Linked DNA regions of Saccharomyces cerevisiae S288C. Changing the gene in region 1 together with any one later gene gives a genetic interaction. Each region holds a gene or a part of one and is shown in the gene's direction. Other genes may lie near its edges. The genes, in order: REC104, UBC6, MGL2 and PSK2.

Region 1 (3,187 bases):
CTTGTCTAATAGAATGGGTGAACTTTTTTTATTTCTTGGCTCATGATTATATTGTAAAATACATAGCATTTTATATAATTGTGGTGCTAACCCTAAGTACTTTTTTTTTTCGCCCTTTCCGGGTTTCTTTTTTTCACCTTTTCGTTTTTCTAGAATTTCGCAAAGTATATAAGAGACCATAAACAGTTGGAGAAAAATATCACAAATTTATCAGCCCAATTTATGGCAGCTTAAAAATGTCTAGGTCGATGCTTTCAACGATATCTTTATCAGGTGATTCTTACGCGCCAGGTGGATAGAGGAAATTTGCGACAGTAGGTTTACTGTCCTGGTTTCCTTGTACACTTGTGATACTCATTTTTTGTCTGCCAATAATATAGTCCTGTTTATTTGTTATATGATGATAACCTTCTCAGCTCACTCAGATCTTTTGATATGATTGATAAAAATTTCCTATCCAACATTCATCAATTTATCTGACCAAACAATAAACTTAGTACTATATAGTCTCGCAGGCAATTCTCTTGAATAATTTCAACTTTTATATCTTACATGAAACTTAAACACGATACATGTATCCAGTTTTCATCTCGATCTGGTTCGCTGTGAAATTTTACTATAACACTGTTTTTGAAGTAGGATTTTTGCCAATAAGACATTTCATAGTTCGTGTACAGGCCGTGATATTCATCTAATTTGTTCAACCACTTGAAGCCCCATAACTTTGTTTTATGGTTAACTATTCTGGAGGAGTCATCGAAAATTTCCTCTTCTATAGCATCCTGAACTTTTAAGCGGTTATATTCATATACTTCACTGAATCCCTTTTTTTCTAGTATATTGATCAAATCAGATAATAGCTCGATTCCGTGAATAACATATTTCAATGATTTGTTCTTTTTTGAAATGGCAATTTTTCGCAGCTTGTTTAACCTGCCCAAGGATTCCAGTACTGTTTCATTCTCATCAACAAGAAAAAATTTCAAAAGATTTAATGCTTCGTGGACCATATAATGTCTCGAATTCTGCGTTTTGACACTTTGTTCCTTTTCTAAGCGATTTACCTCCTCTGTATTTATGACATCATTCATCCATTCCTCATTATCTTGTTGATCATTTTCTGTGGCGTTTTCTGTCTTAATATAATTCCCATCTTTATCGAATACCCCATGTTTTATTTCGTCATCTATATTAAATGGCTCTATATTCACACCTTTTTCTACCTTGCTCTCTGAATTACCGATCTGATAATCTAAGTCGGCTAAGTTTTCTTTCTTGAACTCTGCAATATCCAAAAGCTGAATTTTCGATTTCTTTCGCTTTCTATGGTCTTCGACGTGATCTTCATTTTTTTCATAGGATTTTTCATCCATTTCTTTCCCACTATTTTCATTATCTGTAGAATCTTCAACGCTAGAATCAGAATCAGAATCATATTCTGCCCTGCTTAGCTCTTCATCTTCATATATCGTACTTTGATTATGTAACTCATCGCTAAGCTTTTCGTCGTGTTCACGTCGATCACTATTTCTTTTCAGTTTTGAGCTGTTCGGGTATTGCGTATATTTCATATCCTTCTACAAACAATATGGTGCACTTGAGTGTTTTTATCAAAGTTTTCCCTTGTTCTTTAAAAGGCAGCTTAGCATGGTCATTCCAATTTGTTCGGATGCGCTTCTTTTAATCTAGTCAGAGAAACTTACCCATTAAGTAATTAAAATCGATTATTAGGGCATAAATGGAAGAAAAGGAGACTATGTTGGTAGAATGTAAAGGAAGGGACCCTCATTCACAAACAAGGCAGGGACTTTTATGTTACTACTGAATGTTCATGGTGATGAGTGATAATGTCCTTTAGCTAATAGAGTAAGCCACACTTATTCAAAGGTCAATTTGGAGTAGGCTTACAAATGTAGTCTTTTCTTTCATAAACCAGTAGTGTTAAACTTTATGTTTCTTCAACTTTGACGCACAATATTTGGCGGCTATTTTCCGCTATACCAAATAAAATATATCTTTTGTATAAGAAAACAAACTGCTGAAGAAAAGAACATACAGCAACTTGGACAACATGTCCATCGAGGAGGAAGATACAAATAAGATCACATGTACGCAAGACTTTCTTCACCAATACTTTGTAACTGAAAGGGTTAGCATTCAATTTGGGTTAAATAACAAGACCGTAAAAAGGATAAATAAAGATGAATTTGATAAGGCAGTAAATTGTATCATGTCATGGACAAACTATCCTAAGCCTGGGTTAAAACGAACAGCTTCAACGTACCTCTTAAGCAATTCCTTTAAGAAATCTGCAACAGTATCTCTTCCGTTTATCTTAGGCGACCCAGTATGCATGCCGAAGAGGGTGGAAAGCAATAATAATGATACCTGTCTTCTGTATAGTGACACATTATATGACGATCCTTTAATACAGAGGAATGATCAAGCAGGAGATGAAATAGAGGATGAATTTAGCTTTACATTGCTACGAAGTGAAGTAAATGAAATCAGACCCATATCTTCGTCCAGCACCGCCCAAATACTGCAATCGGACTATTCTGCGCTGATGTATGAGAGACAGGCTTCAAATGGGAGCATATTTCAGTTTAGTAGTCCCTGAGATTTAGTTTGATATCGTTAGCATAAGCTATTTGTCACGTTACTATTTCTCTCCTTCATTTATTCTTCCATGATATATAAATTTTTGTCAAGAGTACAGTTATTATTATATTATATCATTATTATAATTGTTATGATTACTATTAATATTATTAATGTTTATTATCAATGTTTATTATTATTATTGTTATTACACATGAAAAGTGAAATTTCATTACGCATATTGTCTTTTATAGTAGATCGCTGTCAGCATCTTCATTAACTTGTTTGGTGTTATTTTCCAAATTCAATAATCTCTTTTTCAACTCTAACACTTCACTTTTCAAGTCATCTCTTTCTTGATTAGTGATGAAGAGTTCCGCTTTCAGATCATTTATTTTGATGTTGAATTGATTTTCTCTTATGCTGTTGCTATTTTTTACATTATTGGAACTCTCCTCGGTGCTTCTGAGACCATTTTCGAAATTTTCACTGCAGACGCCATTTTTGAACTTCAATTCATCTAACTCGTCGATTAACTTTTTATTCAAACTCTTGTACTTCTCTAGCTCTCTTTGTGAAACCATTA
Region 2 (3,484 bases), on another chromosome or scaffold:
TATTGAACGCAAAAAGACCTTGGGGAATATACCTGAAGTTAAGACTGCAGAAACCAAGACGCCATTAAATGATAAAAAACGCAATAAGCAAAAAAGAAAATCGAGAATATTGAGCTTCATCAAATAAATCGGGATTGTTTCGATACATCATATAGTTGAGACCCATCTGTTCTAAAAGTATCAATATTAGTGTACCATTTTTTCTTCCTTTTTTAAATAATTTCCACGTTTCTTTCTATTGTTCCTGATCTTTCGAATTTAGTTGTATTTCACTTCACCTACTGTAATAACTTTTTTTTTTTAGAGCACAATAAAATTTCACATATTTTCCAAAAGCAAGGGCGGTAAATCAGAAAAGATTAAGCTTTAATGAAAATCTCATAGAGACCAGATGAAGAATATTGGTGGCAGCATAAGCGCTAATACTGAATAGATATACGCATTTTTTTTCAAAATATCTGTTAGTACATTTATACAAATATATTCGTTTATACCTCTTCTTTAAACAGGCGCATGTGTAAATAAATATGAGACTGATTCTCCATTATGCAATCTTCTGATAGCTTCTGCAATCGTAGGGCTGATATCCACCTGATCGACAATGTCCAAATCCAAATCAACAGGTACCGTGTTGGTGCAAACAATTCTTGATAACCTACTATTTATTAACTTCTCCCTAGCTGAGCCAGAAAATATACCATGTGTGACAATAGCGATAACCTCCTTAGCACCGTGATCCATTAATGTGTCACAGGCTTTCACCAGCGTACCACACGTGTCAGCCATATCGTCAATCAACAAGCATGACTTACCAGCAACATCACCGACAAGCAGCATTCGCGAAACTTCATTAGCTTTTTGCCTCTCCTTATGAATCAAGGCAAAATTCATATCCAGCTTGTCCGCTAAAGAAGCCACCCTTTTCGCACCACCAGCATCAGGCGATACCAGTATCGCATTATTGAAATCTGTTTTGGTCCTTATGTAATTCAACACACTTGGTTCACCGTATAAATTATCAACCGGGATATGAAAAAACCCTTGAATTTGTGAAGCATGGAGATCCATAGTAATAACATGATCACAACCCGCAGTTTCCAAAAGATTGGCAATCAGCTTCGCAGTGATGGGCGCCCGCGATTTATCCTTCTTATCTTGTCTAGCATAAGGGAAATTTGGTATTACTGCCGTAATTCTTCTGACTGATGCCGTCTTACAAGCGTGAATTAAGATAAGTAATTCCATTAAGAAATCGTTGATTTCATGTTCCCCGTAACCAGTTTGGATGATATATACGTCTTCATCACGAATGCTTTCCCCTATTGTAACAGACGTCTCTTTATTTGAATACTGATATACCCCCACTTTAGATAACGGTACACCAAGCCTTTGGGAAATAAGCTCAGCAAGCCCAGGATGTGAGTTACCAGCTAACAACTTAATACTGTTTGTAGACATATTCAACGAAACTTACGACAAGATAGTCTTTGGATGATGAGGAATATCCTCTTCTTAGCAATCCCTCGATGCCTCCTCATATCATCTATTGTTCAAAATTTTTTCATTGTTGAAAAATAGTCACGTGCTTAACCATTTTGCTGCGCGATTTGGTAGGAGGATAAATACACGGGCATACCGTATCTGTTCAATAGCAACAATGTCGGAGAGAGCTAAACTAGCCAACTCGCCATCCTATTCCACTGGTCGCTTGAGTCGATATCCTTCCACAGCAATATTGCACTTTACAATTAGGATAGCCTCCCCAATAAAATAAGGAAATTTTGGTTATTTGTGTTCAGAAAAAGCCGAAATCGATTGCAGAGAACAGAAAGGAACTTTCCGATTATCACACTTTAGGAGCCGTGATAAAGAAGACTACCATCGCATATCGCAGAAAAGACTTTAAATATTAACTAAAACCGCATTCGCAAATTGCAAACAAAGTACGTACAATAGTAATGGCTACAAAGCAGGCTCACAAGAGATTGACGAAAGAGTACAAGTTGATGGTGGAAAACCCTCCACCATATATTCTTGCTCGCCCCAACGAAGATAATATTTTAGAGTGGCACTATATTATCACAGGACCTGCGGATACTCCTTACAAGGGCGGTCAATATCACGGTACTTTAACTTTCCCGTCTGATTATCCATACAAACCACCGGCTATCAGAATGATAACACCGAATGGACGTTTCAAGCCCAACACACGATTATGCCTTTCTATGAGTGATTACCACCCTGATACTTGGAATCCTGGCTGGTCTGTCTCAACCATTTTGAACGGGTTACTAAGTTTCATGACCAGTGATGAAGCCACGACAGGATCAATTACAACATCAGACCATCAGAAGAAGACATTAGCAAGAAATTCCATAAGTTATAACACTTTTCAAAATGTTAGATTCAAATTGATTTTTCCGGAAGTTGTACAGGAAAATGTAGAGACATTAGAAAAGAGAAAATTGGATGAGGGGGATGCGGCAAATACAGGTGATGAAACAGAAGACCCTTTTACAAAGGCTGCGAAGGAAAAAGTCATCTCGTTGGAGGAAATTCTAGACCCTGAAGACAGAATACGCGCTGAACAAGCGTTGAGACAATCAGAAAATAATTCCAAGAAAGATGGCAAAGAACCTAATGATAGTTCTTCAATGGTTTATATTGGTATCGCTATTTTTTTGTTTTTGGTTGGCCTTTTTATGAAATGAAGCCATTAAATGAACTAAACTTTAGATAAATTTTGACAACACAGAATAGAAATCAATAGTATTATATAGACAAAACGGATCTTTTTATTATGAACATTGTGAATTATTAATTATATTTTTGAGTATGTATTGACCAAGAAACCTCAATAAAAATGAGGTGAAACCTAGGGAGACAGAAACTCCCATTTCAAAAACCTTCAACTTTCATTATAAGCTTACCTTGAGCACGTTGTGTAGCCATATAGGAAAATGCTTCCTTGAAATTTTTCCAGGAATAAACCTTATCAACAACGCAATCTACGACTCCCTCATTTAGCAGCTTGCCGCATTCATGTATCCAATCATTCTTCTTGGGGATAATCTTGATATTGGGGTCAAAGTAAAAATGAGAATAATCGTATGACCATAACATTGATCCAAACATTTTTCTTGCATTGGCGCTAGGGTTATCCCAAGAATCAAAGACGTCTTTCTTATAATTTCCAACATAATCACCAACTGTTGTAATATAAGCACCTTTAGCGTGAATTAAAGAACTCGAGTGACTCAAGATATCATAACCACCGATGAAGTCCAACACGACATTAAATTTACCCTGAGTATAATCTTCGGTTTCTTTGAGAGTATTAAAATCATCATAATCTACAACTTTACCGGTATCCAACATACGTCTGAGTGGTTTACTAGATTTTCCCCTACATGACAGATAATTTATGAAAATGATTTCATCTTTCAAATCCGGGAAATGTTCTGACAGGACTGCTGCACCATTA
Region 3 (3,925 bases), on another chromosome or scaffold:
CCACAAAGCAACAAATTGACGATCTATTATTGCCAGGAAACACGAATTTACCATGGACTTCATAAGCTAATTTGCGATAGGCATTATTTATTAGTTGTTTTTAATCTTAACTGTGTATGAAGTTTTATGTAATAAAGATAGAAAGAGAAACAAAAAAAAATTTTTCGTAGTATCAATTCAGCTTTCGAAGACAGAATGAAATTTAAGCAGACCATAGTATCCTTGATACATTGACTCATAATCAGTTAAATAGCCATTCAATCCCTTTGAGCTATCAACTTCATATTCCTCCACAAGGTCCTTCCACCCGCGAATTTTACGCAGCCGACTTAATTCATCTCCTGTAAATTGGACCAAGGGTTTGGTGCCATACTTTAATGGACCTACATTGACCCAATGCAGCTCTTTACAGTATTTCTTTAGTGCTTCAATACTGGATAGATATTCAAACATATTTTCCGCGGTATCTATGAAATATGCGCTACAAATGATAATTTTATCATAGTCTTTGGAAATGGGAGAATATCGTGTGAAGTCCCCCCATAGTGGGTCCAGATTACTGCGGTGGCCAACTTTGCTCAAATCTGCCGATAAACTTCTCAACTGATTATCAAACACTGTCTGGCATGAATATTGTTGTACAAAAGGACGTATCTTAACGTCATGCTTATATTCGAGTGCAAATAGGTTACATATGTACATCAAGGCTGATAATTCGATGGAGTCCACCTGTATTTTGGGGAAAGTGGTGGCAAGAGTATGGGATAGGCCACCCACACCAGCCCCTGGGGTCACGATAAGAATTTTCTCTTTCATGTCCCCGGCACTAATCACATGATGGTTGATTCTACTAATGATAAAATTTTGTAAAGGATCTCTTTCCACACTATAGTAAGAGCTGAAATCACGACACAAATGTGCTAATGCTTCATGGACCACACTTTGGCTGCCTCGAGACGAAACTATTGGAAATACGAAGTCAGGATTCAATTGAATAAGGTGACCATCTTTAATCTTATAGCCGTGTTCCGCGCATATCTTTTCAATTTCCTCTGTAAATTCTTCATCGTGTTCGTTGGAATGAATCAATTTCCCTAAAGTGAACTCAATTATCTTGTCAATAACTCTTGCGTTTTCTCGGATACCCTCATTATTTTTCATTAATTTGGTGAAGTAGCCTAATTTTTGCAACTGATCTTCTGAAATTCCATTTAATTGTCTTGCTCTCCGAAATAAAAGGCCATTATAGCCTTCTCCTCTTGCTCGATACTCATGTAAACGGATTAAATTCCCCGTAAGATCAGGAAGAGTGGGAATCTGATAATTAATTTTAGAAAGATTCGATTGATCGGCAGATATTGATTTCTCAACATCAACCAATTTTAAGGAGGGCGATAAAACGCTGACTTTTTGGGCCAGATTTGATTTTCTTGATAATAGCTTTTCAACATATGATACAAACCACCTCTGCAACGGCTTATTTTGCCTTAGCAGTGTCATCAGGACTACCACAAGGGCTAGAATTATATTTGATGCCAGTGAGCTAACCATTGGCGCTCCTCAACTTCGTATATCAATATTTTTACCTCTTCTATTTCCTGAAAAATTTGTTAATTGTACAGCATCGTTTACGTTTTTTTTTTTTTACGGGTCTTCTTACCTAACCCCGAAAAGTATTGTGGATCTTAAAAGGGTCTCAATTATTTGAAGTTCGATAAAAACCAACTACTTTGTTATTTTAAAACTGTATTATACAAACGCTGGTAAACTTCCAGAGACGATATGCGTCTAAAAGAATTGTTACCTAATTTTTTGATTGTTCATCAAGAGGTCCCTGAGGATCCTATTGCATTCAAGTCCACCGATAAACGAGAGAATGAAAATAAAGAGATCACCATCCCTGAGCTAATAGATACTAAAGTTCCTGAATTAGCTGACGGTGCTACTGACACTTTATATGGTTTACTGGTCAATGGCCATTTACAAACTGCATATGGTTCCTTTAGACACTTTGACAATATATACAAAGTTCAATATAAAAGAATGATAATCAAATACCCACATGGGGGAGAAGGGACTGTGGATTTTGCTGTAAATGGTAGAAGTACCAAAAGAAGAAAAGTGGAAAAAGAATACGTGCCGACAAGTCAACCGGTATTTAACGGAAACTTGAAACGAAGATATTCGTACTATTCCCCTGATGATCCTAAATTGAACTCAGACGATGCTAAGCCTATGCTTATTATTCTCCATGGATTAACAGGGGGTTCGAGGGAAAGCTACGTGAGGGCAATTGTTCATGAAATCACCACGAAGTATGACTTTGAAGCATGCGTGTTTAATGCTAGAGGATGTTGTTATTCTGCAATTACAACGCCGCTATTATACAACGGTGGTTGGACCAATGATATAAGATATTGTGTTAATGACTTGAGGAAAAGATTTCCGAATAGAAAGTTTTATATGATGGGATTTTCGTTAGGCGCATCTATAATGACAAATTACTTGGGAGAAGAGTCAGATCGTACTAAAATCGAATGTGCTATTTCCGTGAGTAATCCATTTGACCTGTACAACTCTGCATATTTTATTAACAGTACACCAATGGGGTCACGATTTTATTCACCTGCTTTGGGTCACAACTTACTACGCATGGTTCGAAACCATCTCTCTACTCTGGAAGAAAACCCTGATTTCAAAGATGTTATCGAGAAGCATTTAAAAAAGATTCGCACTGTGAGGCAATTTGATAACTTGTTGACAGGCCCAATGTTTGGATATAAAAATGCAGAGGAGTATTACAAGAATGCTTCATCATATAAAAGAATACCCGGGATCAGAACTCCTTTTATAGCTTTGCATGCTCAGGATGACCCAATTGTCGGAGGTGATCTTCCTATAGACCAAATAAAATCCAATCCATACACTTTGCTTCTAGAAACTTCGACGGGGGGGCATGTTGGATGGTTCAAAGACAGATCCGGCAGAAGGTGGTACGCAGAACCCTTATGCAGATTTTTGAAAATATTTCACGACGAAATTACTGTAAAGGGCTTAAAACCTGACTTGGAAAATGTTCAACTCCCAGATCCTAATTGCGAACCCATAGCCACAACCTTTCGCGCGAATTAGTTTGTAAATAAGTCAACTTTTTAGATGTGTAACCTGATAATTTTTTTTTTTGATGTTCGACATCATTATTTCTGAATGAAAACGTGAAAAGCTTCGCCAAACTTAAAATGGAAAATTTCGAATGGAACAAAATATAATCGATGCGATGAATTAAAACCTTGGAAGAAGAGGGTTAATTGTTAAAATTACATATATAATTGGCAGACAAGAATAAAAAATGCATGAAGTAGTAACGATATCGGTTTCGCAGAGAGCAAACCATTTGACTACTCAATTCTTCAATATACAAGAGGGCTATTTACAATTGTCTAAAGAACAACAAGTCAATGACTCCAAAATTTTTCTGAATTCGGTTGTAGATAAAGTTTCAAAAACAATTTCATATGCACCACGTGCCTTACTTTGGGATGCCCGTACAGGTAATGGTTCACTAGGAACATATCAATATTCAGAAAGCCAAGACTATCATTTCGGCAATGAAGACAAATTCAAGGAGCAAACAGTTATAAAGACTCATCCAAGAATACCTAAATCCGAATATCAGAGTTCTCTAGATGCAGGAGCACCGCTGCCTTGTTTGAACAGAGAAAATACGATGTATTGGTCTGACTATTCTAAACTTATCTATGGTCCTTCAAGTTTCAATATTTTGAGAAATTGGTACCATGACACTGAAAATCCAAACCAACCTGACTTTCAAAACTTGGGGGAGCGAAAGTTTGACAGGTATTCCATTGGTTATGACGAATTTACCGAAAATTACTTGCAAGAGTTTTTTGATGGAAATTTGCAT
Region 4 (5,896 bases), on another chromosome or scaffold:
TGCATATACAAATGTTGAAAAGAAACGAATATTATTAGCAAGTAATATATAGTATATAGTATATATATATATTTATATATGTAAACATATAATGAATATATAAATTGGTATGTAAAAGAGTTGCGAGCTTCATGGCGGATTAATGTGAGCTATAGATTGTTGGATTGGAGGTGCATAGGATCCTACAGTAGGCTCTTCTGGTTCCGCAGGAGGGGAAGGAGGTACGGCTGGCTGGTCCCGGTCTTTTATCTCTTTAACTATCCAAAGCGAAGCACCTACTGCGTTTGTTCCAATGAACAACCCACCCAGAATGGGAATAGACTCTAATAAACCGCTGGATATCGAGTAAAGGAGCCACTTGGCAAAGCCCTTGTAGTAAACTTTGGAAAGTTTGCGCGAATCCAAATGTAGCACGTCAACAAAATAAGGCTCAAAATAGTAAAATCCCATTCCGGGGCTAAATGGTAGCATATTGATTGTAATTGGACCCACTATTGGAACGAGCAACAATAAAAGAAACATAAAGGCTATGAAGATGTACCAGAAGAAAAAAATGAAAAACTGCGGCAAAGAGACGAGGTAAAACCGTTTCGAAAAGAGGCCACCCAAACGATGTGACCTTCTGTAGACAAAGGGCGTGAAACTTATCGTTTCACAGGCTTCACTCAACTCTGTTAATCCCTTTCTTGCGAACGTCACTCCATAAATACGTGTGAAAAGAACGAAATCGGTACCCTTCACCATAGAATTACATAGCGTTGTGGAAATCAGAATAGTTTGCATATAAGCCAGAGGTAACGCAAAGAGTCCGAGAAAGGGCAAATAGATGCACACTAACAAGGACCACGCAAGGATTGACGTAAACGCAACAATAAGCAGGAGATTCAGCAGGTAGTATCCAAATATTAGGAAAAATAGATGCAAATAATCCGAGTTTCCCACGGATTCGCTAATTCCCTTCAAAGGCGGTTAGTATGACGGCTTAAAAAACATGATCTGCTTATTGGAACATCAACATACTTTATACGGATACCAGATGATCTGGTGCGACGACTCTAGGTCTTTCCAAAAATTGTCTTTAACAAGCATAGCATTCTTGTACCATCGAACTATCGGAGCCTTGTATGCCATCCAAATTTTTGATTTCTTATGGTTCCCTTGGTCTTGGATGGGGAGTAATTGTGGTTCCTCCCCTTCTGCCAGTGGCGTAGAGGCATATGGATGTCTATGGTAATACCAATCAGGTTGGGGTCTAGTCGACATGTTTGCTTGGTGTCTTAGCAGCTCTTATAGTTCTAATGCTATAACTAAGAAAGTAATAATAATAATAATAAAAAGCTTTATATAATGTTTTATTATGGAAGTTTCGTTTTTGTGGCGCGACGCGATCAGCCAAAATCAGCGGAAAAATTCGTCGGAACATTTTTTTCTTTTTTGGCCAAGCTATTGTTACAGGTGGGGCAGGGGCAAGAGACGATATGTCATCGCGAAGCTGTAAAGACACTTGTCGAAGTGATAAAGCGCAAGAGCTGTTTGTCTACGGAACCAGCAAGTACTATCTAATAGCGTGTTCCAGAGAATAACAGCATTTTTCAACTTCTTTCTCCTGGTGTGAGTAATCAGTACGTGAAAAGAGAACGAAGTTAAAAAAAAAAACAAGAAAAAGAAACAAGATCAAAAGAAACGATAAAGGCTGGCTTATAAAATAATAGCATCGCGAACGATCAATAAGGGGCCCTGTTTATTTTTAACAAAGTTTACATATTTCGTTTTCCTCTTTAAGCTGACATCACGTCTATACCCTGTTTTATTCCTTGTTAGAAACATAACGGAGCAGGTAGTAACAACAACAGTATAAACTATCATAAACTTTTTTCCTTCCTTATTGGTGACTTTTAACACTTAGAATTCTAAGTCTGGCAAGAACAGTAATCATACTTCTTTGCAGGGCGTTTTATTGTTACTCCTCTGCCCTGCTAGATTAAAGTAAAGAATCATAAACAAAGAACACAATGACATACCCGGTTAGTGCAGCCGCTCCTGCCGACATTTCATATTCTAAAAATACCCCGTTGGTAGGGCTCTCTAAACCTCCATGCTTGTACCAACACGCTTCCTCGTCCGTCGATTCGTTTTCGTCAACATTCAGTGATGATGATCGTTCGGACCTTGTTGCTGTACCTAATGAGTCGCCGCATGCATTTTCGTATAATCCCATATCACCAAACTCACTGGGAGTAAGGTTGACCATCTTAAGAAGGTCTTTGGAAATAATGGTAAACAGTCCTGACATCTTACATGAGTTGAAGAAAAAAGCACCCGTAATAGCATACCCCCCCTCACTTAGACACACAAGAAACTTAACAGAGACTGCCACGTTATCAGCATCGCGAGATCCGTTAAATGGGTCTCTAATTTCACCATTAGTATCCAATATGCCATCTCCTGCTAGTAGACCCGTGATACAGAGAGCAACGTCCTTAATGGTGTTGCCTGATAATGATACTGCCAGTAAACTGAATCCAGCCAAGTCCGAGTTAGAAAACTTGTTATTCTTGCTAAATTTAGCATTGGAAAACAATTCCTTCGAAAGAGCTTCCGATTTACACATGCTATCGTTATTGAATATCAAGAAAATAAACTTTGATTCAGACATTCAAAAATCAGAAACTTTGAAAAAGGTTTTATTAGATAGTTTAGCAGAACCATTTTTTGAAAACTACAAGAAGTTCCCTCACAAAGATTTAGGTTCGAAATCGCAATATAATGAATATGAGGAGAAACACGATGATATAGTCTCCTTAGCAGACATCAAACCACAACAGGACTATAGCCGAATTCTTCATCCTTTCACATCTGCAAAAAATTCTGGTCCAGAGGCCATTTTTACATGTTCTCAACAATACCCCTGGAACTTCAAAGCTGCCAATGATTTGGCGTGTCTAACGTTCGGTATATCAAAGAATGTTATCAAGGCACTTACTTTACTAGACCTTATTCATACGGATAGCAGAAATTTTGTTCTAGAGAAAATCATGAATGCAGAAGATGATAACCAAGAAATTGTGTTTACCGGAGAAACTATACCTATCGTCCAGCCAAATTCGACAAGCAATAATAATGTACCAAATCTGATTTGGGCTTCACTATGGGCCAAGCGGAAGAATGGCCTACTGGTCTGCGTATTTGAAAAAACGCCTTGCGATTACATTGACGTCATGTTAAACTTGAGAGATTTTTCAGTGGACAGCATTATTGATACAACACACTTTCTGGAAAACTTTGACAAGAAAAAGCAGCAAGAATCAACTTCGCCAATGACAGAAAAGAAAACGGTAAAATTTGCAAATGAAATTCACGATATTGGGTCAGTAAGTCACTCACTGAGTAAACTAATTGATGATGTACGTTTTGGAAAAGTGTTTTCTGCAGATGATGATTTATTACCCTTGTCTATCAGGGTGGCAAATCATGTCAACGAAGAGAGATATTTTACGTTGAATTGTCTATCTGAAAATATACCATGTGCTGTTACAACTTCCGTATTGGAAAACGAAATAAAATTAAAAATTCATAGTTTGCCCTATCAGGCTGGGCTATTTATTGTTGACAGTCACACTTTAAGTCTTTTAAGTTTCAACAAATCAGTCGCCAAAAACATGTTTGGCTTGCGACTTCACGAGTTGGCCGGTAGTTCGGTTACTAAGTTGGTTCCTTCTTTGGCGGACATGATATCTTATATCAATAAAACTTATCCTATGTTAAATATCACATTACCAGAAAATAAAGGATTGGTTTTAACAGAACATTTTTTCAGAAAAATTGAGGCTGAAATGCATCATGATAAGGACTCGTTTTACACTTCTATTGGTCTAGACGGCTGTCACAAAGATGGTAATTTGATAAAGGTGGATGTTCAATTACGGGTCTTGAATACGAATGCTGTATTATTATGGATTACACACTCAAGAGACGTGGTCATTGAAAATTATACCACCGTTCCTTCGCAGCTACCGATGTTAAAGGAGAACGAAATTGATGTCGTTGGCAGTAGAGGTAGTTCCAGTGCATCTTCCAAGAAATCTTCGGAAAAAATTCCTGTGAATACTTTGAAGGCAATGGCTGATCTGTCGATTAGCTCCGCTGAAACGATTTCTAATTCAGACGATGAAGTAGACTTAAATCAAGTGAATGAAAAACTACGAGAAACTTCTTGCGGTAAAGTGAGAGGTATCGAATCTAATGACAACAATAACTATGACGATGACATGACAATGGTTGATGATCCTGAGTTAAAACATAAAATTGAATTAACGAAAATGTACACGCAGGACAAATCAAAATTTGTAAAGGACGACAACTTTAAAGTGGATGAAAAATTTATAATGAGGATAATTGAACCGATAAACGGAGAAGAAATCAAAAAGGAAACAAATGAGCTAGACAAAAGAAATTCTACTTTAAAAGCTACGTACTTGACTACTCCAGAGGCTAATATAGGCTCACAAAAGCGCATAAAGAAATTTTCTGATTTTACTATTCTGCAAGTGATGGGTGAGGGTGCGTACGGTAAAGTCAATTTATGCATTCATAACAGAGAACACTATATCGTGGTCATCAAAATGATTTTCAAAGAGAGGATTTTAGTAGACACATGGGTGAGAGATAGAAAATTAGGTACTATACCTTCTGAGATCCAAATTATGGCGACCTTGAATAAAAATTCCCAAGAAAATATCTTGAAGTTATTAGATTTTTTTGAAGATGACGATTATTATTACATTGAAACACCGGTCCATGGAGAAACTGGTAGTATTGATCTATTTGATGTTATCGAATTCAAAAAAGATATGGTTGAACATGAAGCTAAACTGGTGTTTAAACAGGTAGTCGCTAGTATAAAGCATTTACATGACCAAGGAATTGTTCATAGAGACATAAAGGACGAAAATGTTATTGTTGATTCTCATGGCTTTGTAAAATTAATCGATTTCGGTTCGGCTGCCTATATCAAGAGTGGACCATTCGATGTTTTTGTGGGAACAATGGACTATGCTGCACCTGAAGTCCTTGGTGGTTCCTCTTACAAAGGTAAACCACAAGATATTTGGGCTCTTGGTGTGCTACTTTATACCATAATTTATAAAGAGAATCCTTATTACAACATTGATGAAATCTTGGAAGGTGAATTAAGGTTCGATAAATCGGAACATGTCAGTGAAGAATGCATCAGTTTGATAAAAAGAATTTTGACAAGAGAAGTTGATAAAAGACCTACTATTGATGAAATATATGAAGATAAATGGCTTAAAATCTAGTTTTCCGTACTCTCCAAGATAAAGGGAAAGAATAATTTAATCCATTTTCATAACCATTTACCTTCATAAATGTTCTATTCTTTTTTTGGCTATATATTAATTACATTTTTAATATCATATCATTGCTCTATATCCTTCTTGTCCAGCCTCTATGCAGTATTTTCTTTCATTCTATTTTGGGGCAAACTTCTGCGCTGAGCGGCTTATCGCCGTCGGAGTGACATCAAGTACCATAGAAAAGTCATCGTAGACTTACATATTTAGGCAAGAGAAATAGTTAGGTAAACAGAAAGAGGCACTAGCAGAACGTACTACGGTGTGGTTTATACAAGAGGGTTCTGTGAATAATGGCTGCAAGTGAGATAATGAACAATCTGCCTATGCATTCCCTCGATTCTTCTCTAAGGGATTTACTTAACGATGACTTATTCATTGAAAGTGATGAATCGACCAAGTCGGTAAATGATCAGAGGAGTGAAGTATTTCAAGAATGTGTGAACCTTTTCATAAAAAGAGATATCAAGGATTGCCTAGAAAAAATGTCTGAGGTTGGATTTATTGATATTACCGTTTTCAAG

Evidence for each region.
Region 2: mutations in REC104 (region 1) and UBC6 together harm fitness more than expected from each alone (negative genetic interaction), as found in Saccharomyces cerevisiae (2 studies listed by BioGRID).
Region 3: mutations in REC104 (region 1) and MGL2 together harm fitness more than expected from each alone (negative genetic interaction), as found in Saccharomyces cerevisiae (2 studies listed by BioGRID).
Region 4: mutations in REC104 (region 1) and PSK2 together harm fitness more than expected from each alone (negative genetic interaction), as found in Saccharomyces cerevisiae (3 studies listed by BioGRID).

What each region holds. Positions count from the first base shown.
Region 1 is NC_001140.6:410,836-414,022, forward strand, and holds REC104 (Rec104p), read left to right. Parts: upstream 1-2,071; coding exon 2,072-2,620; downstream 2,621-3,187. Other genes in the region: U5 snRNP complex subunit LIN1, read right to left, coding at 549-1,571; KEL1 (Kel1p), read right to left, coding at 2,850-3,187. UniProt on the Saccharomyces cerevisiae protein: Potential transcriptional regulator that is required to activate expression of a number of early meiotic genes including HOP1.
Region 2 is NC_001137.3:357,604-361,087, forward strand, and holds UBC6 (E2 ubiquitin-conjugating protein UBC6), read left to right. Parts: upstream 1-1,958; coding exon 1,959-2,711; downstream 2,712-3,484. Other genes in the region: putative ubiquitin-specific protease UBP9, read left to right, coding at 1-127; ribose phosphate diphosphokinase subunit PRS2, read right to left, coding at 502-1,458; AST2 (Ast2p), read right to left, coding at 2,899-3,484. UniProt on the Saccharomyces cerevisiae protein: Catalyzes the covalent attachment of ubiquitin to other proteins. Functions in degradation of misfolded or regulated proteins localized in the endoplasmic reticulum (ER) lumen or membrane via the ubiquitin-proteasome system.
Region 3 is NC_001145.3:685,734-689,658, forward strand, and holds MGL2 (putative carboxylic ester hydrolase), read left to right. Parts: upstream 1-1,782; coding exon 1,783-3,132; downstream 3,133-3,925. Other genes in the region: ERG12 (mevalonate kinase), read left to right, coding at 1-65; YMR209C (uncharacterized protein), read right to left, coding at 178-1,551; DML1 (Dml1p), read left to right, coding at 3,350-3,925. UniProt on the Saccharomyces cerevisiae protein: Converts monoacylglycerides (MAG) to free fatty acids and glycerol. Has a preference for palmitoyl-MAG. Does not play a significant role in ethyl ester biosynthesis. Also possesses ester hydrolase and low but persistent TAG lipase activity.
Region 4 is NC_001147.6:241,485-247,380, forward strand, and holds PSK2 (serine/threonine protein kinase PSK2), read left to right. Parts: upstream 1-2,012; coding exon 2,013-5,318; downstream 5,319-5,896. Other genes in the region: LDS2 (Lds2p), read right to left, coding at 130-957, 1,021-1,263; PEX15 (Pex15p), read left to right, coding at 5,666-5,896. UniProt on the Saccharomyces cerevisiae protein: Serine/threonine-protein kinase involved in the control of sugar metabolism and translation. Phosphorylates UGP1, which is required for normal glycogen and beta-(1,6)-glucan synthesis.